Nothobranchius furzeri: one gene and its partners. The protein of the gene in region 1 interacts with the protein of each later gene in a pairwise test. Links are inferred from orthologs where the notes say so. Each region holds a gene or a part of one and is shown in the gene's direction. Other genes may lie near its edges.

The links.
Region 2: the proteins of khdrbs2 (region 1) and cirbpa interact in binary tests that used the Homo sapiens proteins (3 or more experiments, as listed by UniProt). The two-hybrid records come from large-scale screens. The link is inferred for Nothobranchius furzeri from reciprocal best matches to the Homo sapiens genes KHDRBS2 and CIRBP.
Region 3: the proteins of khdrbs2 (region 1) and ncoa5 interact in a two-hybrid assay, tested with the Homo sapiens proteins (2 studies listed by BioGRID). The two-hybrid records come from large-scale screens. The link is inferred for Nothobranchius furzeri from reciprocal best matches to the Homo sapiens genes KHDRBS2 and NCOA5.
Region 4: the proteins of khdrbs2 (region 1) and heterogeneous nuclear ribonucleoprotein R interact in binary tests that used the Homo sapiens proteins (3 or more experiments, as listed by UniProt). The link is inferred for Nothobranchius furzeri from reciprocal best matches to the Homo sapiens genes KHDRBS2 and HNRNPR.
Region 5: the proteins of khdrbs2 (region 1) and dock2-like interact in binary tests that used the Homo sapiens proteins (3 or more experiments, as listed by UniProt). The two-hybrid records come from large-scale screens. The link is inferred for Nothobranchius furzeri from reciprocal best matches to the Homo sapiens genes KHDRBS2 and DOCK2.

Annotation. Positions count from the first base shown.
Region 1 is NC_091752.1:19,510,400-19,514,884, forward strand, and holds part of khdrbs2 (KH domain-containing, RNA-binding, signal transduction-associated protein 2), read left to right. Parts: intron 1-2,294; coding exon 2,295-2,377; intron 2,378-2,917; coding exon 2,918-2,976; intron 2,977-4,353; coding exon 4,354-4,448; 3' UTR 4,449-4,485. UniProt on the Homo sapiens protein: RNA-binding protein that plays a role in the regulation of alternative splicing and influences mRNA splice site selection and exon inclusion. Binds both poly(A) and poly(U) homopolymers. Phosphorylation by PTK6 inhibits its RNA-binding ability.
Region 2 is NC_091751.1:56,697,338-56,702,340, reverse strand, and holds cirbpa (cold inducible RNA binding protein a), read left to right. Parts: upstream 1-1,986; 5' UTR 1,987-2,112; intron 2,113-2,762; 5' UTR 2,763-2,768; coding exon 2,769-2,868; intron 2,869-2,973; coding exon 2,974-3,080; intron 3,081-3,166; coding exon 3,167-3,308; intron 3,309-3,410; coding exon 3,411-3,552; intron 3,553-3,631; coding exon 3,632-3,690; intron 3,691-4,066; coding exon 4,067-4,077; 3' UTR 4,078-4,825; downstream 4,826-5,003. Other genes in the region: midnolin, read left to right, coding at 54-250. UniProt on the Homo sapiens protein: Cold-inducible mRNA binding protein that plays a protective role in the genotoxic stress response by stabilizing transcripts of genes involved in cell survival. Acts as a translational activator.
Region 3 is NC_091743.1:58,540,817-58,545,786, reverse strand, and holds the start of ncoa5 (nuclear receptor coactivator 5), read left to right. Parts: upstream 1-1,953; 5' UTR 1,954-2,066; intron 2,067-2,646; 5' UTR 2,647-2,704; intron 2,705-4,970. UniProt on the Homo sapiens protein: Nuclear receptor coregulator that can have both coactivator and corepressor functions.
Region 4 is NC_091759.1:6,952,568-6,957,821, reverse strand, and holds the start of heterogeneous nuclear ribonucleoprotein R, read left to right. Parts: upstream 1-2,237; 5' UTR 2,238-2,388; intron 2,389-2,982; 5' UTR 2,983-2,986; coding exon 2,987-3,143; intron 3,144-3,271; coding exon 3,272-3,390; intron 3,391-3,489; coding exon 3,490-3,597; intron 3,598-3,691; coding exon 3,692-3,805; intron 3,806-5,167; coding exon 5,168-5,254. Other genes in the region: atp5if1a (ATPase inhibitor A, mitochondrial), read left to right, coding at 1,175-1,287, 1,377-1,518. UniProt on the Homo sapiens protein: Component of ribonucleosomes, which are complexes of at least 20 other different heterogeneous nuclear ribonucleoproteins (hnRNP). hnRNP play an important role in processing of precursor mRNA in the nucleus.
Region 5 is NC_091741.1:92,145,824-92,150,939, forward strand, and holds the start of dock2-like (dedicator of cytokinesis protein 2), read left to right. Parts: upstream 1-2,099; 5' UTR 2,100-2,408; coding exon 2,409-2,451; intron 2,452-5,116. UniProt on the Homo sapiens protein: Involved in cytoskeletal rearrangements required for lymphocyte migration in response of chemokines. Activates RAC1 and RAC2, but not CDC42, by functioning as a guanine nucleotide exchange factor (GEF), which exchanges bound GDP for free GTP.

The DNA of each region.
Region 1 (4,485 bases):
CAGCATGGTTTAGTGGATTCTCTAGTCCCACACGCTAGATTCAGTGGTTAAATCACCAGTGCAGCAGCTCATCAGGCTCTGCAGAAGACTGTTAATCACCTGCTGATTGAAATCAGGTGCATTGATGCAAAACGCGCTGGATACCAGCCCTCGAGATCCGCAACTGAATAGCCCTGCCTATAGACACCAGAGAGGACATACAGACCTATGTCACACTGTAAATTAGTATTCATGGACTCACCCATGTTGGCTCGCAACCACGAGTGTAGAATTTTGCAATCAGGAGAAAGCAGAGCGCATCTTGGCTAGTAGAAACTTAGCGTTAGTAGCAACTCCACAACACGGTGGAATAGGTTCAGATTTGTGGTATTTGTGGGGATAAAATATCACTGTTGCAGAGAAAACGGAGACAGTGGAAGAGTCAAATTGTTGTTAGCCAATCAGAAGCAAGTTGACTGCATATCATAAATATTCATGAGTAAGACTTCAAATCCAGCAGTTTTCAGTTCTCCACTTCTTCAGCTAACTTCTACTTTGACACAAATGACTCAAGGCATTCATCCATACTAGAGACAACAAATGTAGTGAAAAAACAAGTGCGGAGCAGGCGGAGGGAGACTAGGGGTCTTAGCCACCTCTGTTGTTGTTGGGCTTCCTGGGGCTGGAGGCTAGGAGGGAGATCTGGCCGTCTGGTTGGGGTCTGGGGTGGTGGGTTGCCGTGCTCAGCGTTGGGCGGGGGAGCCTGCTCATCAGCACCCCAGCAGAAAGGGTCAAACTCTGGTTACCGGTGATGGTTGTACCCAATGTGCAGCAGTACCGGGACCAGAGTGAATAGGGTGTGTATGGGGAGCATGAGTGGGTGTCCGGCGTGCATTTTTGTAAGTCCTTGGTTGTATGTGCATGTGTGAGCATGAGGGAGGGAGTGTGTGACTGTGTTTGTGTATGACTGCATATGTCAGGTGGGGCCTTTGGGTCCTCCCCTCTCCTGGAACTTCTTTTGATGATATAGATCTTTGTCCTCCCTCCCCCTGCCACACCTGGTGTGGGGGCTTGTGCCTTGGTCTGCCTGAGTGTTCGTGGCAACCGGGTCTGGGGGTTTAAGATTTTGGCATCTGCCTGATAGATCCTGGTGGCTGCCTGGTGGGGTCTGGGTCCCTGGGCTATGCTGGGTCCCCGGCGGGGGTGGTCGCCCCTGGGTCCCGGGTCGCTGGGTCCCGGGTTCGGCCGGCTAGGGGGTGGGAGGCTGCGGGCGGGCCTGTGGGCTTGCCGCTGATATCTCCAGGGACTCTGCCGGCTGCTGGTTGTGGCCCCCCGGGGCGATCCTCTGTGCCTCTCGAGGGGGGCGGGGGCCTTCCTGGTTGCAGTCTCCTTGGGGTTCCTGTGTTCTGGGGCAGCGCCTGGATCTCTGGGACTTGGAGCTCCCCCCGTCTCCTGCGCATCTTTGGGGGGCGGATCTGTGGTCCCTCACACTCTCTGTTGGACGCTCCTATAGAGAAACCTTAAATAAACAAGCGCGTGTACACACACAGGCGCTCACATGGTGCTCTCAAAAGTATGGACTTGGGCAGGTATAACACAGGTCTTAAGACTATGGTGGGCACTTAATGCACTGTGATTTATTATCGTGATTCTTCAGTTAAGCAATGTTGATTTTATATATATATATATATATATATATATATATATATATATATATATATATATATATATATGTTGTTTTTTTTCATCAAGTTGACGCAGTGATAGCTTGATCTTGTTGTATTGTTGTTGTATCCCTTTTTTTTGTGTCCTTTTGTTTTTGTTTTTTTTTGTCTTTTTCTGCAGGTCTAGAAGCAGACTCTTATTCATTATTGTTTATTTCTTGTGGAACCCCCCCCCCCCCCCCCCTCCTCTCCCCACCTTTTCTTTTCCTTTCTCTTTCACCTCTGTCTCCGTGTCTGGTCGGAATTACAACGCATTCAACAACAATAACAATAAAGTTTTAAGTATCAGGCGTGACATTAAAAGCAAACGCTTTGATGCTCCACCTGAGAATAAATCTGTAAGGCTTGTCACCAGCATTCAGACATCAATTCTGCTTGCTTCACAGCCAGACAGGACACGGTAATAAAATAAAAAAAAGAAAGAAAAAACAAGTGAATGGGAGCTTTAAGAAGAAACATTCAGTACAATCAAGAATTATTAGCATTTCTATGCCATAAAACACACTAACAGTAAATTTCACTTCAATGATCCAAAAAGCAGCTCGCTGATGGTTTTGTTATTTAGATTTTTATTTATTTTTTTGCTGACAGGGTTACGATGACAGATACGATGGTGAATACGACGAAGATGGTTACGAAGCCTACGACGAGGACTACAACAGTCAGTCAAAGAGGTAACGTTAGTAAACAAACCAGTGTACAGCGTCCGTACGGTGACTTATTTTCATGTTGTGATATTAAAGTGAAAAATTTACTAGAGAAAAACTTGAGACTGATTAGTTGGTCCAGATAGCTCCCCCGTTTATTAAAAACATATCAGTGAGCGACACAAGCAACACGAGCACAGACAGCAGTAAGTCCCAGATTCAGCATCTTGCTACTGAAGATCCTCACTGGAGCACCTAATGTGTAATGAATTAATCCACAGATGAAAATAGTCTTAAGCAAATGTTTTATTTGCACATCCTTGAGAGGAAGTTTCTAAACCCGACACAGCCCATCTGTTGTAGGATTATTGAGTCCTTGTATGGAATAAACTACACATTTATGTAGCTTCGGCGGCTCCGCTGGGTTCAGGATTACAGACAGTGCTGATAAGAAGGGGATGATAGGAAAACTGGCTTTTTTGCTTTGCAGAATTCTGCAAACATCATGTCTGCTTTGGTGTGTTACTTAATCATACTTGAGCTGATGCTCTGTTCTGTTTTATTCAGCATTTCAGAGTATTATGAATACGGACACAGCACCAGTGATGAATCCTACAACAACTATGGTGAGTGCGGCTGATTATGTCCTCGGAGGATCTTTGTTTTTGGTGCGTTGAAGATCAGTGACCTAAATATGAGTCACCCTCATTTTCATGTGTCATCCTTTTTGTTTAATACAGGCAGCCGCTCAGTGTAGTGTTTAATCTAGCACGAGTGCAGCATAACCCTACGATTAAAGCAGAAAAATGGGTTGATTATTTGATTAGACCATCTATAAAAATGATTTGGGTACTTTATAGAGGCTTAATTAAGTTCTTTATCACGCAACAGTGCCTCACCATGTACCTCGCTCCTAAATCTATCAGGACTAATCAAAAATTAAAATATGAGTTCACTGCTGCTTCACACGCTCAAGTCTATAGGAAGGTCTAGTGTGAAGCTGTGCTGCTAACGAGCCAGCACTGTTGTTTTTATAAAAGAAAACAATTCTAATTATCTACTATTATTGCTGGTAATTAACTGCATTCATGAGGAGAGTGTAGGATTTTATAAACGTCCGCATTAGCTATGTTGTTATTTGAAAGGCACGAGACAAAGAAAAATTCAGTTCCAGCCCACTTCCTGACCCAGGGAGCCATGCTGCATGCATCAACCCTCCTACCTGCTTGGTTATGAGCTGCACCAACTAAAACCCTGAATGTGCCGGTGGCAGCTCGTGAAGCTAACCGACGCTTGCTGAGATGCTGTTTTGCCTTTTGGGTATGTGCCCTCAAAGGTCTTTGTCAGAAAGCTCTTCTAACCTCTGCTGTGTGCACATAAATCAATCTTGGATATATCTCCAAACAACCAGATATTTTTTAATATTTTTTTTTCTCTTTATCAAAGAGACCACCAATTTTCAAAGAAACTCTCTGAAGACTTTAGCAAGAAGAGCGTTAATGTAAGCACAAAGGTCACTCAGGAATTCAGGTGCAAGGTGTTGGTAGGTGGGTGCTGCTGCACATTTGAAGGTTCATTTATTCACAGGATTTTTAAAAAATCACCGAGGTGTCGAGGTTGACTCAAACCAAAACCAAGGGAGATATGATTTTATTTTCTGCTACATAAATACTCTCTTATTTGTAAACGGCGCAGAGTGCCATACAGCAAAGATGGCCATCTTTATGTAATTTAGCTCAGAGGAAAGAGCCGTTAATAGTCTAATCTCAGAAATGGTTCAACAAAAGGGCAAAAAGCTCATAAAATTTATTTCTTGCTAAGAGAAACCCCTGCAGTTCCTTAGAAATAATTTGCAGCCAGAATATCTTGTCGTTGCGTGCTGAAGTGCACCGTAAAAGGCTCAAATACAATACCATTGCCCCACAGTTAGCTGTATGACATGAAATTTCTCACCACGGTAATCAAATCATATTTCCTCAACGTGTCTAACATTTTTTTTGCAGAGGAAGAATGGACGAGCATCCGAGTCGGGCTGAAAGCTCCTGCTCTACGGCTGACAAGAGGCGGCTACAGAAAACATCCGTATGGTAGATACTGAAGGTGCTCCACACTTGTGATCTCCTACTCTCTTTGTA
Region 2 (5,003 bases), on another chromosome or scaffold:
AAAAAAAAGTAAACTAATCATGGATAATGTGTTGTTTCTTCTGTTTCCTGCAGGTGATGAGCTGCTGCCTTCATCCTTAGAGGAGATCAATGCGCTGCAGTGTAAGTTAGAGCGTCTTCATTTCTTGATGCAGCGGAGGCGTCTCCGCAGGAGGACTCGGAGGAGTCCACAACTTCATCACCCCAGACCCCGTCAACGCCATTGTTCTAGTGTTGTCAATGAAAAAAGGTTCAGCAGGAGAGCTTCCTAGCAGTAAAGGGCTGTGGTATTTTATGTAGGCCTCTGTGAAATGTGTGTTATGAGGTTTTGTCACACTCGTGTCTGTTTGGATGCTAATTACTTTTTTGGTTCTTGCTAACATTTCTCTTTGGTTCCTCCTATCTTCAGCCTCTTAGATAAATACCAGGTGGTTTCAAGAAGCCCTGATGGACTGAGGGATGAAGAATCTGGATGTAGGAACAATGAATGTAGCTGATAATTATTAGCCTAGTGAACTAGACCAAATCCTTGCTTTGCAAAGTTTGGTCTAGGCATGCTCCATTGGAACCTCCACAGCTCTACCAGGACTCTGGCTGGCCAATCACAGCTCTCTAGAGGGGTTTCAAACACATAAAGAGCTGTGATTGGTCCATAATTGTGGGCCAATCATAGTGCTCTATCTGCTTAGTGAACAAATCACAGAGCTTTATCCGCTTTGTGGGCCAATCAGGGCACTCTATGTGCCTGGTGGGTGGGATGATGCAACAGAGTGAAACAAGAGTCACATTCATTGTCCAGTGGAATGCGGAGATCATTTGAAAGACAACGGTAGAACCCGCCCCACAACCGAGAGCCGTCAATGGATCGTGGCCAGACTAAATAATACATTTATTTAGTCTGGCTTGCCAGGCTAGATAATTATATCATCACACTGTAAATATAAATGGTGGGGTGATCCACTGGTTTGGGTTTCTACCTCATTGCTGAGACCTTTAATGTGCACAGTGCTGTCTAAAATCAATGTTTTTGTCTCCAAATCTCATGTGTGTCTTTATCTCATCTCAACTCAGCCATGGTTTTGTCTGTATAAAAAATAAATTGCACATTAAAATTATTTGTTTTGTTTGTTACCTTGAATGCAGAGCAAGAGTTGCTCTCATCAGACTGTTTTATTTTTTTTTTTGTGTTGTCTAAGATAAAGTCCACATTTCTGAAAGAAAAATAAGATGTACATGCAACCAAATAAATGAAAACTGAATTTTCAAACTGTGAGTCAAAGATGCCGTTACAGATCAAAATGATAGCTTTCTCAGTATTATTTATTATTAGGATGATTCGCTTGAACCATCAGGAAAAGGACAAATTGCCTCTGACCTCTTTCGGATGACGCAACACTACATTTCTCCCTGATTCGTCACACTGAGACCACTCTGCAGGTGAGATATGCTGACTACTCATAACTGCTGTAGAACATCCATCCATTTTCTATACCTGCTGGTGCTTATCTTCAGCTGTCTTTTGGGCAAACAAGCTGGGGTACGCCCTGGACAGGTTGTGTCACAAGGCAATCTCTAGAAAATCCCTTTTAAAATATCCTTGATTTTTTTTATTAATCACAATATCTCATGAGATCTCTTAATTTATTTCCTTTTTATAATACATTGTCAGATGTTCAATGGATGTGATGATTTGAGCAAGTTTTCCTTAAAAAATACAATTGAATAGGTAAATTTACAAAATTCTAAAATATTATTAAACGTGTAACTTCCCAATAACTAAAGCAACAGATATTTTTGATTTACAATGATTGCGTTTCACAAAGGGAACCTCCATTTAGAAATTACACTAAACTACATTATCATTCCTGCTACTAGCAACAAGCAGTCAGTGTTTTACAAATATAACCAAATAACAGTTAATTGTACAGATAGGTAGTAACAAAGACGCATCCTAAGTAATCGTAACTGGCAGTAATACCGTACTTTGACCAGTAGGAAGCAGTAATGAGTTTAAAATTTGCGAAACACCAGAAGAAGCGCAGCAAAGGTTTAAAAGAAAGCGCCCCTCTTCCTCTTCCTCACTCGTCTTGCTGCTTAGCTCCGTTTCTGTCGCTCCCACAAGCTCAAACAAAAGGTAAAGTTTTTTTCCGCGTAATTTCATTAAGTTTGAAAAATATATTTAAAAATAACGGTGCTTGCGTTGATGATTCGTGAATATTAGGTATTTTATTTTTGAGATATTGGATAAAACCGTTAAACTCGTGTTTTTTATGTAGCAAAAAAGCCGACCTAGTCTGCTGAATTACGACGTTTTAACTAAAAATATGTAAAAGCAGTTTGCCTATGTTTTGATGTACTGGCCTATTTACGTAACCTTGAAAGTGGGTCATCGTGTTGGAAATATGAGCTACATGCTAAGTGGGCCACTGAAACAAAGAAGACAGAAGCGCTATGCTACAAGATGGCGCCGGAAGGAAGAGCACGCCATCTGGCCTCGATTTCCATTCAATATTTTGCATATTTATGGCTCCGCAGATAGTAAAAAATGCGTTATTCTTTTTGTTAGCAATTATTTACGTTCACCAAAGAGGTTCCCATTTGTTTTTTGTCGTGTTTTAACTTGCCGCTAAATCGCAGAACGGTACTGCGGATCTGCGCAACGTGTTCGCCATTTTGTAACTGGCATGGTGACCTACTTTTTAATGCTGCGTCACCCTGCTCTAGTTCTGTAACCAATTAAGGAAATTGTCATATTTAAGCACTTAAACTTTTTTCTTTTTTAAGATCACAATGTCTGACGAAGGCAAGTTATTTATCGGAGGTTTGAGCTTCGAGACCACCGAGGATTCTCTGGCCGCCGCCTTTGGAAAATATGGAACCATCGAAAAAGGTAAAGAACGTAGAAGCGCCGCATTGTTTTTTTCTGTTTTACGTAAGTTTTAAATTCTATTGCATTAAATTGTGCTTTATTTTTATTTTTTTATTTTTTTTTTAGTTGATGTGATCAGAGACAAAGAGACTGGAAGGTCGCGTGGGTTTGGCTTCGTCAAATACGATAATGTTGATGATGCAAAGGATGCGTTGGACGCCATGAACGGAAAGGTAAGTTGGGATTGTGGGAAAGGGTTATTGATGCAAATTAACTGGTATGTAAATGTTTGTAATGTTATGGCAATTTTCTCCGTTAGACTCTGGATGGTCGTGCCATTCGTGTTGATGAAGCGGGGAAAGGTGGACGCTCCAGAGGAGGATTCAGCTCAGGGCCACGAGGCGGCAGATTCAGCAGCGGGTCCCGGGGGAGAGGCGGACGAGGCTTCTCCAGAGGTGAAGGTTAGTACATGTTTTCTATCTTAAAAAATATCCACACACTTATATAAACAAATATTTTCTATAATGTCCCTTTGCAGTACTATGACAAAGTGTCTTTAACAGGTGGATACAACAGCGACAGAGGATATGGAGACAGAAGTTACGGGGACAGAAGCTTCGGTGGTGGTGATAGGAGTTTTGGTGGTGGATACAGGAGTGGAGGTGGTGGAGGAGGATACTCCTCAGGCGGCTACAGAGAGAGCAGGTCAGTAGTCGGACAACAGATTTTCATTTGCACTTTAGGAGGGACCACAGCACTAACTACTTCTGTTTCTGACCTTCAGGGGACAGGGTGGATATGGTGACCGATCAGGATCCTATCGTGATGGATACGACAGCTATGGTAAGCTGTAGTTAAACTGAATAGTTCAAGTTTGGGGCTGACTCTACAGAATGTTTACATGAATTGTAAAAAGTATGTTGATGGACTTCATCTGAGGGACCTTCAGGCTAGCTTCACAGCCCTAGCATTTCCTGCCTCATAAGTGTGCCCTTCAGTTTTGTACCTGAGCCCAAGTAAATGCCTCTGTTGCCAGTTTTGCCCGGTTTCACATGAAGACTGGCGGAAACTAAAGCACCAACTCAAATGCCTTCTCAAACTGCTCATTTCTCAACTGACGGAGCCTCTTAAAAAAGGAGTTTTGAGATTAGGTCTGATGGGTTGAGGGGATGTTGTAAAACTCCAGTGTCTTTACCTGTGCCCACTTCTTATCCTCCAGCACACGAGTAAACGTCACCCTGATTCAAGATCCATCACTTGGCTGGCTGTATTTGAAAGCTGCGCTCCTCAAGAAAAATGTCCACGTGTTATTGACTTTAGTTATGTAGTTCTGTTGTAGTAGCTTGGCATCAGAAGAAACTGAATTTTGGTAAAAACCATGTTACAAATGCAGTTCAGAGATCTTTGATTGGGCATCCTCTGATCATTCATGACTTTGTGTGAACTCCTGTACAGTCCTGGGCTGAAACAATTCTCCACATGGCTTCTGGTAAATCGGCTACAGTGGCTGGAGATTTCTTTTGTCCAGCAATACAGTTTCTAAATTAAAGTTTTTTTCTTCTTTAGCCTAAGACTGACCTACCTCCTGGTTTTTTATTTTTAACTGAGTAAGGAGCTCTTAACTAGAACTTTTGGGATTTTAATTGTTAAATTCCTTCATGAGAATCTTAGTTTGTCCAAGCTTTTGTTAAAATTTCCCAAAAGAACTCCTTCCAGACTGGTGAACTACACTTCCGAAGCGGCCGGCTGTTCATGAAGTTGCAAAATGCAACATGCTACAGTCCGTCCAAGGTATCTTCTGTGCTCTGCAGTTTATGTGCTGTAAAATGGACTAAAGTGATCGCAAATGTAACTTCGTTTTTCAGAGTTTAAATATAAATGGGAACATTTTTGTACTTATGTTTGTATGATCCAACTTTTTTTTTTTTTTCCTGTTCGTTGGCTTCATGGAGCCTATTAAACAAAATGTGGAAAATGATCCTGATTCCGTTGCCTGTTCAAAATGATCGCATGGGGAAGTAAAACTAATGGCTCTTGATCCTGCTGGATTGGAGAAGGACAGCCACTTGCACTACTGAACAAGCTAAACTTGAGATTAGCTTAATACCACAGCTACATGTAAAAATCTAGGTTCTCTCATTTGATCTGTTTGTGAA
Region 3 (4,970 bases), on another chromosome or scaffold:
ACAACAGCCTGCATTTAGTACTAACTTTTAAATGTAATGTTATTTTCACAAACATATTATTATCTTTGTATTGTATTTATGTCTTATTGTCACTTTTGTAACAATTTATTACAACTATGTGTCCACTTTTATCATCTTCTTGAAATGCACACTTTTGCGTGTTTATGCAATTTCACAAGACTTTTTTTGTTTTTTAGAACCGTTGTATAAAGTTTGACATGAATTGTCTAACCTGTTATGTTTTTTGATTGTAATACTCGTGGTTCATTTTATAAACTTTTAGAAGTCTTTCATGCATCAGTGTTAGCTTGACTGGGTACAAAATTTCTTCATGAATATATTTAATAATGTGTTTGCTGAATAACATGATATCACACAACAGGTATCTTTTATGAAATTCTACAATCAGAACAATCATTCGAGCAAGGAAAGGAATCACACAGCTGGTCTAGAGGAGACACAAACGGATGGAGGTCAAATAGATTAAATTTGCTAGAACTCACAACAACTTCTAACTATATTACATTTTCTTTTCAGTTGCCCAACCTTTTATACAAGTTAAACCCATTTTTCTACTCTATGCAAGAAACCTTCAATAAAAACTAAAACTATATCTGACTTTAATATATCTTCTAGTCTCTGGCCAGTGCTGTTTGATCAGTTTGTAAACACACACACTTTAATTGGCTGTCACCTAGAATAAACTTTAAATCTCAAAATTCCAAAAGAAGAAAATAAAAACACAAGTAAGTTGAAGAAGAAGAAGAAGAAGCATACATTAAATTAGCTGGCACATGAGTGCACATGAGCAAATTTTACATTCCCAAAACATAAATTGCACACATTATTACAAAAACAGCAAGACAAGATGTTTTAAAAGAGTTGATATTACTGCTGATCCTCTGGGTCCTTACCGAGGAGCAGAAGTCCAACCGACGAAAGATAGCAGCTCTACTGATACGAACATGCCCAAGAAGTATATCATCCATAGTAAAAGTTAAATATAAACTGTTAAAGTCAAAGTTCATGTAGATGAACCTTTTTATTTTAAGTTGCACCAGAGCACAGCCATTGTCATGGTATTGGGTGAGTGGCTTCTAACCAGTTCCTCAAAGTGTATCTCTGCAAAGGTGCAGTGGTACGCCTTCACTCTGTTGGGTGATTGGTATTGTAAAATTGATATTGCTGGTCACCAAGATGCAAGGATGTTTCAGCTCAGTGGTCTAGTGGTATGAGTGCCTTGGGATTGGGAGATTGGGGTTTAAATCCCGGCCGAGTAAAAGACTTGATGCTTTCTTGCTTGACACTCAGCAATAAGGGTTGGAATGGGGGTTAACGCCACCAATTGATTTCAAAGTATTTTATAAATTACTCTGTGGAATGGGACCAGAATGCATGTTGGATCTCCATCAGGTATACCAGCTCTGACATTATGAAGTAGTCAGCTGGTAGAGCCTCAGGACAGAACAAAACAGGGTGAACTTGTTTCTTGCTACTATACACACAGATGTAATCAGCTTCCTCGTGAGCTCAAATGTGCCACAACTCTAGTAACTAATCAAAATTGAAAACCTTCATGTTTTCATCAGCTTTTGAATGACTGTTCTTATGCTGAACATTCTGCATTATATTTGCTTACCCTTTAATCTTTTAAATTGCATTTTCTGACACGTTTATTTTAATGTTCTTGCTATCCTCGCTAAGCAATTGCCTCTGTGGCTGAAATGCGTTATATAAATAAAGCTGCTTTGTTAAACACAGATAAATACATAGATTTATTAAGTTTTAGTTGTTGAGTAGTTTGTATAAGTTATGACGTTCTGCCCCTTAGACTAACTATGCCGTTAAAAATTGGAATTTTCTAAGCGGTATATTTAATTTTGAAGGAATCTACAGAAAAAGCTACCCAAATCAGCAAGCCTGTTATTTGTAGTTCGTTGGAGATTACAAGCGCGGCACACTCGCGCATGCGCAATACACAGAATAGACGGCGTAGTCGGGGAAGACGGCTAGCCATTTTGGCGTCAATACAGCAAATCGAAATATAAATTATTTGCTCGTCGAAGGTAAGTGGAGAGCTGTACAGTCGATTATAAAGTAAATAATGGTCTTAGCGATTCATATAGCTGGTACAGCAATTTTAATATTAAAGTTGTTTGGTTTTAACCTCCTTGTATCCGTGTAAGTAACTAGCTAGCAGGCTAATGCTAGGCTACACGAGGTTAAGGCGCATTTTCGTAAATATAAACACAAACGTGGATGAATCTGCAAGAAGCAGCAAATGGGATGTTGTTATGTTGTTCCGTGGTATCGATTAAAATGTAAATGTAGTTATTTGTCTTATCTCTGTTCATGGCGCACGTGAAACGCCATTTGCTACACACACTACCACGGACATGAACGGAGGCCATTAACCGGCCCTATCTCCTGGTTTCAGTGGGTTGATGAAAATTGTTTGAATTACTTCTGTGTCGTAATTTTATAAGATGTAGATTAATTAAATTTAGAACTCGAGTTCATACACAGATTGATATAATTTACAGAGTTTATAGAAATATCCAGAAATAAGCAAAGTTAACGTTAGTTTTCTCTTCTTGCCCACATTTAAGTTTTGTTCCCCCCTTTTCTTTCTCTTTCTGCTGATAGGCATTTGGACCATTAAACCATCGGGCACTGAATACAGATCATCTGCCTTCAAGTTAAGGTATGGTTAGGGTCTGTACCCTATAAATACATACATAAATAATTAACTTAATGTTATTTTTTGGAATATTCTTTTAGTTGTGCTGTATGGATGTTTTGACTGAAAATATCCAACAATTTATTTTAAAAGCATTTCTAATTGCGTTTTACATACCTTCGGAATAAAATATTTCCTGAGTTTGAGCAACAAGAATTTGTGATCTTGTTGATCTTAAACTTCTCGCTTCATTTTGACAAACTCGCCTGCGCTGGAGTGGACTCTGCCGTTTCAAGAGAAGAGGATCTTTTAAACAAATGTCTATTCTTTGCGTTTCAATTGAAGTGAGTCCAACAAACGAGTAAAAAATTTTCATCGGCTGAATACATTTTCACTAACTTAATAAACTTGTGAGGTATGGTGTTCTAGGGCTGCTCGATTATGGCAAAAATTATGATCACGATTATTTTGATTGAAATTGAGATCTCGATTATTTAAGACAATGTTTAAATTAATGTTGGTTTTTATTCTGTCATAAAATTGCACAGGGCACAATCAGGACAAAAATAAACAAGAAAAAGAAAGAAACAAGATGATCACAAAAACAAATCCTGATTCCTAGTATAAAAAGGCTAATGCACTTGCATGTAGTTTATGATCCAAAGAGTTTAGGCTGAGGTTTAACTCATTTAAGGGAGACCCAAATACTCAACCCAGGGTTTCCCTTACATAGGCGTAGCCCGTGGCGGCCCGCCACGGCTGAAATCCCACCGCCACGCCTACAAGATCCCAAGTTTTTTTTTTTTTTGCACTGTTTCCCAAAGAAGCAGCGGGAACTACTATGTCGTCGCTTGTGATCACAGCCGGTGGGCAGCAAGGAGCAGGCAGGGCTAGGTGAAGTTACAGCATAAGTTACTGAGTTTAAAATTAGAAAGGTAGCAGTGGATATAATGCTTTTTGGTTTACATGTTTCAGTAGCATTAAGATAAACAAGTGTTGACGATCTTGACAGGGTTTCCTCCAGTGCTTATTATGCCAGGTTCTCCTCCCCCCACCAGGTTAAGCATCACTTATTCATGTAAAATTTATTTATTTTTTCATGTCTGACTTTAACCGCATCTAATACTGTATTACGGCGTGAGCTCAACAGCGACAACTTAAGATCGATGTGTGAGCAGCGTGAGAGGTCGGGTGTTTTCATCTGAACCCTTACAACCTCCAGCAGGCTACGCTGCACTATTGACGTGTTAGCGCACGGCGCTAACAACTTAGCGACGTGACATGTCTCTGAGAAAGCGTAAAAACACGTTGGACGCTTCTTCTGAAGCGGGAAAATAACACTTCTTCTTAAGCAGAGCACGACGTCGCCTCGGCTCGTTCACAGCCGAGCCGGACTGAGCTCGATAACATTGACCCAGCACAGCCACTGGGTCGTTGGAGCTGCCCCGTGACTGCCTGATGGAAAACCAGCAGGTTTTATCAGACTCGTAAAGTTTATTGTTTTTGCTGGGGACCCCCTGTATTTTACCGCTCCCTCCTGCAGTCTTCCCCTATTAAAATTTAAAATGATTCTGTAAATTCCGTGTATCAATAGAAAAAATATCTGCCTCTGCCAGCTGCAGTAAATGTAGTCTCCAAATAATAAATAAGAGGTGCATTCGTCTGTGGATCTCCTTTGATCCGCATGAGTGATATTCTCAGCACCAGAACAGTGAAGCAAAGAAAGATTCCCGAGTTTGTTAGTAATTTTATTTATTAGGTGCATCTAACCTGTTCTATTTTTCTCTGAAATGAGATCAAATCAGTGCTTCTATGGGTTGTCTCCACTCTGCACTGGAAAATTTTTACTTTATTTAGAGACTACACTGCAACCAATATGTTGCAAACGATGACAGGAAGAATTATACAGTGCATTTATAATATAAAATAAATGAAAACATACAAACATCAATATTTTAGTGAAGTTCACAAATTTGCATAATTTAATTCTCTCCAGCAGTGCTGTAGGAGTGTGGCAACGTGTCGCTCAGAGATATAAATTATTATTTCAGTGTGAGGAACTTTATCTATTTCTAAACAATTTTTTTTTACAGGCTGGCTCTGTTAGCCTTTTCTTTTGCGACCGACACAATATGACATCCCTTTCCTAAAATGTCCGGAAGGACGGTCTGGAAAAACAGGCTGTGTGTTTTGCTAACCTGCAGAAATGTAGACTATTATTCAGAAAGTAGCTGAAGGTTACCAGAATTGTTTCTAGGTTGTTTGCTGGGTACTTTTAGAAGTTAAAAAG
Region 4 (5,254 bases), on another chromosome or scaffold:
TATCATCTTAGTCATTTTGTTCATCCTGTCCAGTTAAGATTCAGATTTCAGATTTATTGGCCAAGTAAAATTACATTTACAAGGAATTTGTCTTCGGTAGATGTTCGCTCTCTAAAACAGACAACAACCACAATAAATGAGAATAAAATACCTAAAAACACATAAGAACATGTATACCCACACACATGTTCATTTACACACACAAATATATATACATGTATACCCACGCACGCACACACACACACATATCCATAAGCATACTGAATAAGTATTAAAAACTGGTTAGAATGCATTAAAGTAGATTGCTATGCTTTATATTAGGGCTGGATGGTAATTCATTAACTACATACATATATAAGGGGCAGATTAAAAGTTCAATAAATGAAAAGTTTATATACTTTTTTTTTATTAGCCTTTCACATAGCTTAATTCTAGAGTTGCTCTGTGTTGAACCAATCATGAGGCTGGAAAAGAGCCACACAGACAGCACAGTAGAAGAATAAACCATTTTTTTCATATAGCGCCTCAAGATAGAAATCACAAGGCACTTCACAAAAATGATGAACATATATTTTTAATTATATTGCAATAAAATTAGGACAAAGGAAAAATGCAAAGGAAGAATTTTTAAAAAGTTGCAGCTGGACAAGCTGATGGCTAATGTTTACATCAGGTAACCACTGAAAAATTGAGATAAAAAAATTACTGTCCTGAAAAAAAGAAGAAAAATGGAGAAAAATGCAACTTGCATCGGTGTCAAATGTGTTGACATATACAGGCTATTTAAAGTCATCCGATAAATGTAAGGTGCACTCTAAATGATATAAAATGCATGTTCGAACAAAGTCTGAGAATATCACTAATCTGTTTTAGCACCCGAACCGGCTAGTGTGAAATGCATGCTTCAGATTTCCCCTAATAATACAGGGTAATAGAAATTGCCAAAAATAGTTTGGTCAGTATTGGCTGATATGAAAAATATTGTGGTGATGGGCATTTTTTCCATATCGTCCAGCCCTACTTCATATCAAAGAACTTCAGGTGGTATTTTGAGGATTCTCATAACTTAGATTAATTAAACATTTTGATATGTGATGCATAACCGAAAGTGTTAAAATAAAGCACATTCCTAGTGTGAGATTTACAATCACATAAAAATATTGTTTTTTTCCAGCTTGGTGAATTGGGAAAGGGAGCAGGGAAAGGTGGTGGTGGTGGAGGCTATGTGAGGTCAGCAGGAGGTGCCTTTGGAAAGCGAGAAGCAGCAGAGGAGGAGCTGTACTTCCGGTGAGATGCCAGGCATAGTGATAATACTGTACTACTACTTTCATTGTATTGTGTTTTCTTGACCGTCTCTGTGTTGCATTTGTTTGCAGGCAGAAGGAACGGGAGCAGTTGGAGGCACTAAGGAAGCATCATTCAGAAGAGATCGAGCACCACAAAAAGGAGATTGAACGCCTACAGAAGGAGATCGACCGCCACAAGGGCAAAATCAGAAAGCTCACGCACGACGATTAAGGGGGAGAGGCCAACTGTCAATTCTTTCCTGAGTAGAACCGCTTGTGAACATGTCGTTATCACTTGTACTTTCTGCAGGTCTTAGTCATGAAAGGTCCTTCTGACTCATCATGCTGAAATAATAAAGTGATTAATCTTCCTACATTGTCAAAATATGCATTTAATTCGCTTTGGATTTTTAAACATTTGGCTTGGTGTTCAAAACATGTGCATTTGTTTCTTCCAAGATAATCAAAATCCCTTTTCAGCAGTTGGATAAAAAGGAAGCATTCTTTTCCATCATCAGTGTTGTGAACGTATGTTTTCCATACTTTCAACAGAATCTTGAACATCAGTTTAAAATTTGAGAAAATAACTATCTGCATACAGATATCGTGCATTTTAAGTAGAAGTAAAATTACCTGTTGCAGTCACACTGCATGTTTTGTTTTTTAGTGTAAAAGTACAACAAAACGAGGATAATTCAATTAAACAGACAAAATACAAATGGACCAGAAAATACTCATGAAATCACAAAATTGATTCGTTATGCTGCGAAATGAATATAAGAAGTCGGGATCACAACTTCACCGCAAGTATTGCCTGCTAATACGTAGTTTTTCGTTTTATTTTTGTTCGTATCTGCGAAACAGAAACCACGGCAGCCATGATTCTCATGAAACCCCCTTCAATGATTTCTCGTTCTGGTCTCGCGATATTTGCTGAGCGGTTGCGTTGTTCGGGCGAGCCGACGACGAGACCGTTGGTGTCTGGAAAAATTGTCTCGTGGTAGAGATATAAGTACACTTTGTTTGGGCATTTTCGTTCGTTAATAAAATTAATAATTTCGCGCGCTAAACCACGGTGTAATTGGCTTCCTGAATCAGGCTGGTAAGTTTTGCTAACTATCAGTTTGGACCTTTTATGTGTTTGATATGTGAGAGGCGTTTGTCGGCACCGCGAGGCCTGCGCGTAAGCTTCGATAGTTAGCTTTTTGGCTAACTATCGCTGCTACTTGAAAAGGCACATTTTGAAATCCCCATCTTGCTTTGAAATATAGTCATTAAATCTTCTGTTAAGTTTTAATTGAGTTCGTTTTCTTTTAAAACGTGCATGTAAATATCAGAATTAAACGTATTTATCTGGCTAGTTAGCGGGCTGCATGCGAAGGAGGCGGGGCTGTAGCTATCTGTTGTTTCTTTTTGAAAACCTGGCTATTTTTTATGTAAACGTGTATATATATATATATATATATATTATATCTCATCCTTCATTTAATAGCATATACAACAATTTTAATTAATTGAATTAGCAAATGTCAGCAGTTGCGATCAAAAAGCAAGAAATCTATGAAGTGAGAGTATTTTTTGTTTGCTACAGGCTGAAAACGCAAATTATTATATGATCTCTAGATTTTATAAGTAAAATAATTACGCAAATGCAGATTAATCAAAAGACATGTCTCTCTTGATTGCTATATTGCAGAGGAATGGCTGCTGCTGAGGTGAATGGGAGTTCTGCTCCATTAAAGGAGGAAGAAGAGCCAATGGATGTGTCAATAACACACACAGAAAACTACCAAACACTACTTGATGCTGGGCTGCCTCAGAAAGTCGCTGAAAGTCTAGATAACATCTTCCAGACAGGTCAGTAATCGCTCCAAAATGAGCTGCTAAATTAAAATATATATATATGTCTCCAAATTGTTTGACATTTTGTTTTATATGTGTGTGTGTGTATGTGTTTTTACATATGTATATAAAATTTACTGTAGGCTTGGTGGCTTATGTTGACTTGGACGAAAGGGCCATTGATGCTCTGCGAGAGTTCAATGAAGAGGGAGCGCTCACGGTGCTGCAGCAATTCAAAGAGAGTGACCTATCTCATGTGCAGGTATTCATGTTTATAGGTAACATTTTAATATTTGTCTGAAGCTGTGATTGTATCCAAAGTGCTTTATGTTTCATTTGTATTTATATAATTTTTTTGTAGAATAAAAGTGCGTTCCTTTGTGGAGTCATGAAAACATACAGACAGAGGGAAAAACAAGGAAGCAAGGTACAAGAGTCCACCAAGGGTCCAGATGAGTCCAAAATAAAGGTGAATTATTTTATGCACATTTGTATGAAATGTTAAAAGTGAGCTTTAAAGTTAGATCTGAAACTAATGTTTAGTTATTGTTTTTTGTTTTAAGTCTCTGTTGGAGAGGACAGGATACACTCTGGACGTGACTACAGGGCAGAGAAAATATGGAGGCCCTCCACCTGAGGACGTATACACAGGCTCACAACCAGGGATTGGAACTGAGGTAGGAGTGCTTCATATATATATATATATATATATATATATATATATATATATATATATATATATATATATATATATATATTAGGGCTGTAGCGAAGCCTCGACGAAGTCGACGGCTCGATTCTAAAAATTTGTCGACGTCAGATCCGGAAGTCGACGCACCGCGCCCACTTTTTGCATCCCCAGGAGTTTGTAAATAGAGGAGGAATCTGCCTGTTCTTCCTCTAGTTCGCCCTCTTCTCCGCCTTCACTAACATCTCCGCCAAATACCGAAGACCCGGAACAACGTCCGTCCACTACTAGATTATTTTCCTGTTTTGCCCCTTCGTCTCCCGGCAACGGACAACAACTTCCGGGGTCAGATGCGCTGCTTCGTGTCTATCGCAGATGTAGAAAATCACCGGGAGCGCTTCTCCCTTCATTAAGGAGCTTCTTTCAGACATGAGGAGAGCTGTTTTGGTGGTAGCAGTCTCTCCTCCATGCTGGTCTGTTTGCTGCTGGGTGTTTTTGGTTTATTTAAACTTGGTAACTTGAACTTAATGTTGGTAAAGCTACTGTTAGCATCTTCGCTAACAGCTTCTTGCGTTGGGATAAGCTGTTACGTTTTGGTTTAGAGTTCATATTTTTTGTGGTGTAGATCTCCCTTTTATTACATTTAGAGTGTTGTGGGTTTTCGGTTTAGTGTAAAATATCACCTGAGTTTGGTTTAACCCGTAAGACCACTCGCCTCACGCACATAAGTGACCAAAACAAAGCAGCATGGAGACACTCCATCTTCTACCACCTCTCAGGCAGCAGCCTGCACTCCCAAGTTCTACACGTCATCAGAACATAACCAACCAACACAATAAACACAGTGTTATACAAAATGGAAGGCCTGTAGTGTTTATTCTCTTACAGTAAGAATTTATCAATTCTTTTTGAGGAATTTATTTGAGATTTTCTGGTTTTTGTTAATTGTGCAATAGAAAAATAATCATTAGATTAATTTTCTAAATAGTCATTAGAATAGTCGACTATTCGATAAAATAATCGTCAGAATAATCGTTTTAAAAATAATCGTTTACCCCTAGCCCTAATATATATATATATATAAAGTGATGAAATTTTCTGCAAACTCTGTTCATACATGGTGACCAAAATGCAGCAGAGCTTTGATCTTAATTATAACTAAAATATGAAAGACATTTGAAAATGTGCCCAAATTGTTAATCTAGTGATTTCTGGAAATGGACTATTAGGTTGGACTTGGACTTTTAGTTGACTACACCAATCCACTACTTAAAAACACTTTGTTTCTAATTTTCACTCAGTTAGATGCTGATATCATTGATGGTGTGTTTGTTTCTTTTGTTTTATTCAGGTGTTTGTTGGGAAAATCCCCAGGGATCTTTATGAAGATGAGCTTGTGCCTCTGTTTGAGTCTGCTGGTGCCATCTGGGACCTCAGG
Region 5 (5,116 bases), on another chromosome or scaffold:
GCAGCGGCTCAGCTTCAAGCCCCTCCCCTCATGCCAAAGCTTTTCAGTGTATAGCAGCCTATCAGGAGACGGGTGGGCATGGCCAGCTTTAGCAGACCTTGTTAAATTGACAGAGCTCTGAAACGGCTCATTCTGGAAGGTCCGGAAACTGTAAAGAATATAACAGCTGAAATCGCTTTATGTGAGAGGGACTTTGTGCAAAGAATGTCATTAACATGTTTTGTGTTGACCATAGAACTTTTATAATTTAGGAGTCATATGTTCTCTTTAAACATATTCCAGTGTTTTTTTTGAACTAATACATCTTAAATCATCTTGAATCAGTCTGCTCATTGTCCTCTGACCTCGGACATCAACAAGATACTTTTCCAGTTTGTTCTCTGTAAACCGTAGAGATGGTTCCAGATGAAAATACCAGCACATCAGCCCATCTGCCATCAACAATCTTGTCATGTTCAGTCATTTTCTTCCTCATTTTAGTGCTTAGTTTGAACTTCAGCAAATAATTTTCACCAGATGCCTAAATGCATTGAGTTGCTGCTTTGTGATTGGTTGATTAGCTATTTGTGTTAACGAGCAATTTAACCCACATGATAAATGGCCTGAGCTTCATGAACATGTTTTGAGAAACAATGACTGAAGTTTCTCGACGTAATGATTACATTTAGGATATTAGACACGTTTTCCACTACAGAGCAGTTTGAAGCTGTCGTTTGGGATTTGAAAAGATTTGGTCAGCTGTAGCGACTAGAAGACACTCTGCACCCTGCAGCAAATGTTGAACGGCTAAAATAAATAAGAGGGTTTGGATAATTTTCCATAAATCAATTCAAACATGGAAATGGATATTTTTTGAGGGTCTGATGATGAGTTTTGTTTTCTAGATTGGAGACATAGTTTGGAGGGTTTTATTTATCTGTCTTGTAGCTCATGATTAAGGTAAAGAGAGTGAGCCAGCAATAACCCTAAAGGTCTTATCTATCTATGAATGCTGCCAACTGTGGCGTCAAGGATGTTCTCCGAATGGGATGGTTTCCATGGTGACGCCAACTGAAGGGGTTCAGAGAAGATACATATTTGATGAAGGACTGTTTTCTTTGAAATCCCAGAAATGAATGTGAGCTTCAAAAATGTTTCCATAAAACAACGACCAGAGTCAGACTCAGATAAAATGTTCCATTTAAAACTCCGGTGCTGGAGAAGCTGCTACATCCAGGAGCTGCATGTTGCTTTGGAAATGCTTCTTCCTGCTAAAGAGGCAACGTGTCACCATGCATAAATCTTAAATGAAGACAGTTTGCTGCATTGCAGGATCACAGCTGGCGTTTTCTGGGTTTCTTTTAACCACCGTGTCTCAGAGGATCAAATCTGAATACTTGTTATGATCCTTACTGTTAGGTAATGGATGTCATTAATGCTGTCAAACCTACTGAGATATGACAGTGTGCTGTTTGATATTATAAATGGAGGACAATGGATAAAAAATACATGCCTTTAGAACATCTTCTTTTTAATGTTCTTTAAACCTCTTTTTTTCTCCCCATTTTACTGTGTTCTAACTTTGAGCAACTTTTGATGGTCATTCAAACACACCTCCTGTATGGTTTTAGTAATAAATCATTAGTATAAAAGAAACAACGTTGTTTACGTATATGTTTAAAAATATAGCGAAAATGGGAAAACTCTTAAACAATAAAATGAGTGACCTTACAAATGAAAATCACCAAAGAAGGACAGAAACTGATGCAAAGAATCCTGCAGAAGTTCAGAAGTTTGATTCATTAAACACAAACAATTCAGCTGGAGCAAATTTGTGATAATTTCCTCCAAACTTTAATTTATGAAACATTGTTTTGATCTCGTAATATGATAATAAAAAAAATCTGAAACAAACTCTAATTTTTTGAAAGGTATCTCTTCTATTTTTTCCTTTACCTTCTACATTAAAGCAGTTACAGTATCTCCTTACAGCCTGGACGGAGCTGCATTATGAGGAGACAGCAAGGGTCATGTGAGGAGACAGACAGTTGATATGGCTCAAACAAATCAAAGATTACGGACATTTGGCAGTTTGGTGTGTAGGAGGAATAAGTGGAAACTTAGAAACTGGGGAGATTAAAAAAGTAATATTAGAGACATTATTTAGTTGTTTTTTTTCACTGATGCTGTTTAAATGAGTAAACTGGAAGCTGCACAGGCCCGGGTGCTTGATAGGACTCCACCTTGTTATACTCCACCACTTCCTCTTAACCGCCAAAAGACAGGAAGTGAGAAGAGACAGAAGAGGAAGAAAAGTAAAGGGGGATGGGCTTGCTGCTTTCATTTTAAACACAAAAATGCAGAAGAGAGACAATCAGTGAGAGACATCAAAACAGAACGGGGGTCAAAAATACAAGAGACAGCAAAGTATGGCTCCCTGGACGAGGACGTCCACAAAGCGGTTTGGTGTAGGTAAGTGAGAATGTCTGCACTTGTGCGCTTCTGATCATTCATTCATTCATTCATATGTGCAGAAAGCTTCTATGATGCATCAGTTTTTGATATAATGACGATAGATCAAAAATGGTAAATGACAGATAACAGCACCAAGAGTTGATGATACTTCCTGCTTGATGCTTAGTGAGCAGGCGCAAAAGGCCTCTGGGCTCTGCAGGATGTGCAGATTTAGCCTTTCACTAAAATGTCTTTAGATGCTCAAATTATATTTTCCATTTAACTCTGATGCAAAACCCCTGAAATGAGCTAAAGCAGAGGAATATGTTTAGGTAATATTAAATTCAACAGAGATGTGGCTGGGTTAGTTCTACGCCTTGGAGACAAACAGGATGCATGAAGATAAATGCTAAAAGATAAAGTTCTTTAGAAGTTCTGCTGTTTTCATGGTAAAACTTCGAGACTGGCCACGCGGCATTAAGCTGCGATAGCACAACCTCGGCCCAGTGTTTATCTGGCGTGTGATTCAACATGAAGCCGTTCGGCATGTGTTTCCATTAGATATGAAACATGCTGAAAATGTGACAAGAACACAGATTTTCTGACTTCTAATCCAGACTGTGAAGAGAGATTGACCAGCTTGTTGCAGAATATTTGATTCTTTAAAAGATTCAGTTTTACCAAGAAGATACCGATTAACCACAACCTTACACTGCCCAAGTAATCAAAGTTTTACTTGTAGTAACTGCATATATTAAGAGTAGCAAAAATAAATAGAACTTTACAAAGTCATTTGATAGACAGGACTTTTCCATCTTTTATGAAAAGATGAGACTAGAACACAGGAAGTGGTGGAAGAAGGAAGTAAACTTGTGTGAGTTTAAAGCAGCAGCTGAACCAAGCAGAAATGCTCTAAATGCACAAACTTAGGTTTGAATTCTATGGAACTCAAAAGTATTCAAAATTCAATAAATAAATAAGACATTATGAAATAAATATCTACATGAATAAATACTAGACAATCATGTAATCTGACAATGAAATGATGAAATAACAGAATGTTATGTAAAATCTAAGCTCAATATTATGAAAGAATTTCATTCTTGTTTTAAAATGTCTTTATTAATATAAAGTTTTTTTTCAAAAGTCATTTTTTCATAATAATCCAACTTAATATTGAGCTACTTTTAATTCATTCAGTTTTATATACATAACGTCTTTTTAACAGACAGCTTTTATTTCATTTTTTATTTTTGTTTTTTCATTTCTGTTTTTTCCCATGGCTGATTTATTTCATAATGAGACTTTACAGCAGAATGTCTCGGTCCGTCAGTCAAGCCAGTGGGTGTGACCTGCAACACCATTGGTTAATCCTTCATCATCGTTTGGTTTTCCTGGATTTCTGTAATAGAACAAGGGTATCCCAGCATGCATTGCGCCCCCGGCTGTGGACTTTCAACAGGAAAAGAAAATGGGGAGAGCTACAACATTTTAAATGTAAGTTTGTTTAAAAACTAGCGGTAGAAAAGTAAAAAGCTTAAAGCGGTTCTGTTTATAGACATTTTTCGTACGTGTATTTGTTTTTTAAATTACATTTTGGGCAGAAATCAGCCAGAACAAGCTTGTATCGCGGGTCCCGTAGTTATTCCTGTGTGTGTGTGTGTGTGTGTGTGTGTGTGTGTGTGTGTGTGTGTGTGTGTGTGTGTGTGTAGCGAATTAAAGTTGTCATTTGTTTTAGGGTTAGGGCTACACATGACCACAGTAGTTCTGTGTTCTGCTGTGAAAAGCAGTTTTACATTCAGGGATTTACAGCTGACACGTTTTAATGAAGTAAAAAGTGTTTGTGTGAAGAATATAATTTTTATCTTCTCATGTGGATAGATGTAAAAATGTGTTTATTGCCTTTTTGTCACCTACGGCCTGATTTTCTCTGTAGGACTGCAGGTGTCCAGGGTCAGGAGAGGCTTTACCTGGTGGTCCTCCTGGGAGAGAGGCCTTCTACTGTCATCACGTTAATGTCATTTAGCTGTTTGATATTTTAGCACATTTATTAAAACAAATACTGACTGATAACTCTTTCTGGTCATTGATTTTATCACCAGTTTTATTATTACAGATGTTTTTGAACATGTTACATGAACAGAAAATGAAAAGATGGTAAGGAGACAAGATTATTTATAATACGTTACACTTATTTACAGATCAAAACCAGTATGGACCAGTTTTGTACGGTTAAAGCAGGATTAACCTGACTGACTCTGTTCCTGGATCATTTATTTAAACTGAGTGAGCAGGAAGTCTTTTGCAGTGCAGCTGGATCTGCTGCAGGAGGATCCAGACGTGGATGGAGGGCTGGAGCAGACCCGTGGCTGGACGTTTCTGGCCAGAGGAACATCATACAGGGCAGTCTGCAGAGAGAGCTTTGGGACGCTTCCTTTCACTGTCCACTCCATCGTCCATCTACAGGGACTGCTGGGCTGGCTCAGATGACGGCTGTTACATCTCTATGAATGACTTGCCTGTTAACAATCGTGATGGTTTGCTGGTACCTCCTCCAGGACAGAGCACCACTGACCTCCACACACATCTTCCTCAGACTCATCCTTAGGGATGGGCACCTTTGACATTTGAATCGATTCGGTACTAATTCCCGGTACCTAGGGATCGATACCGGTACTTAACG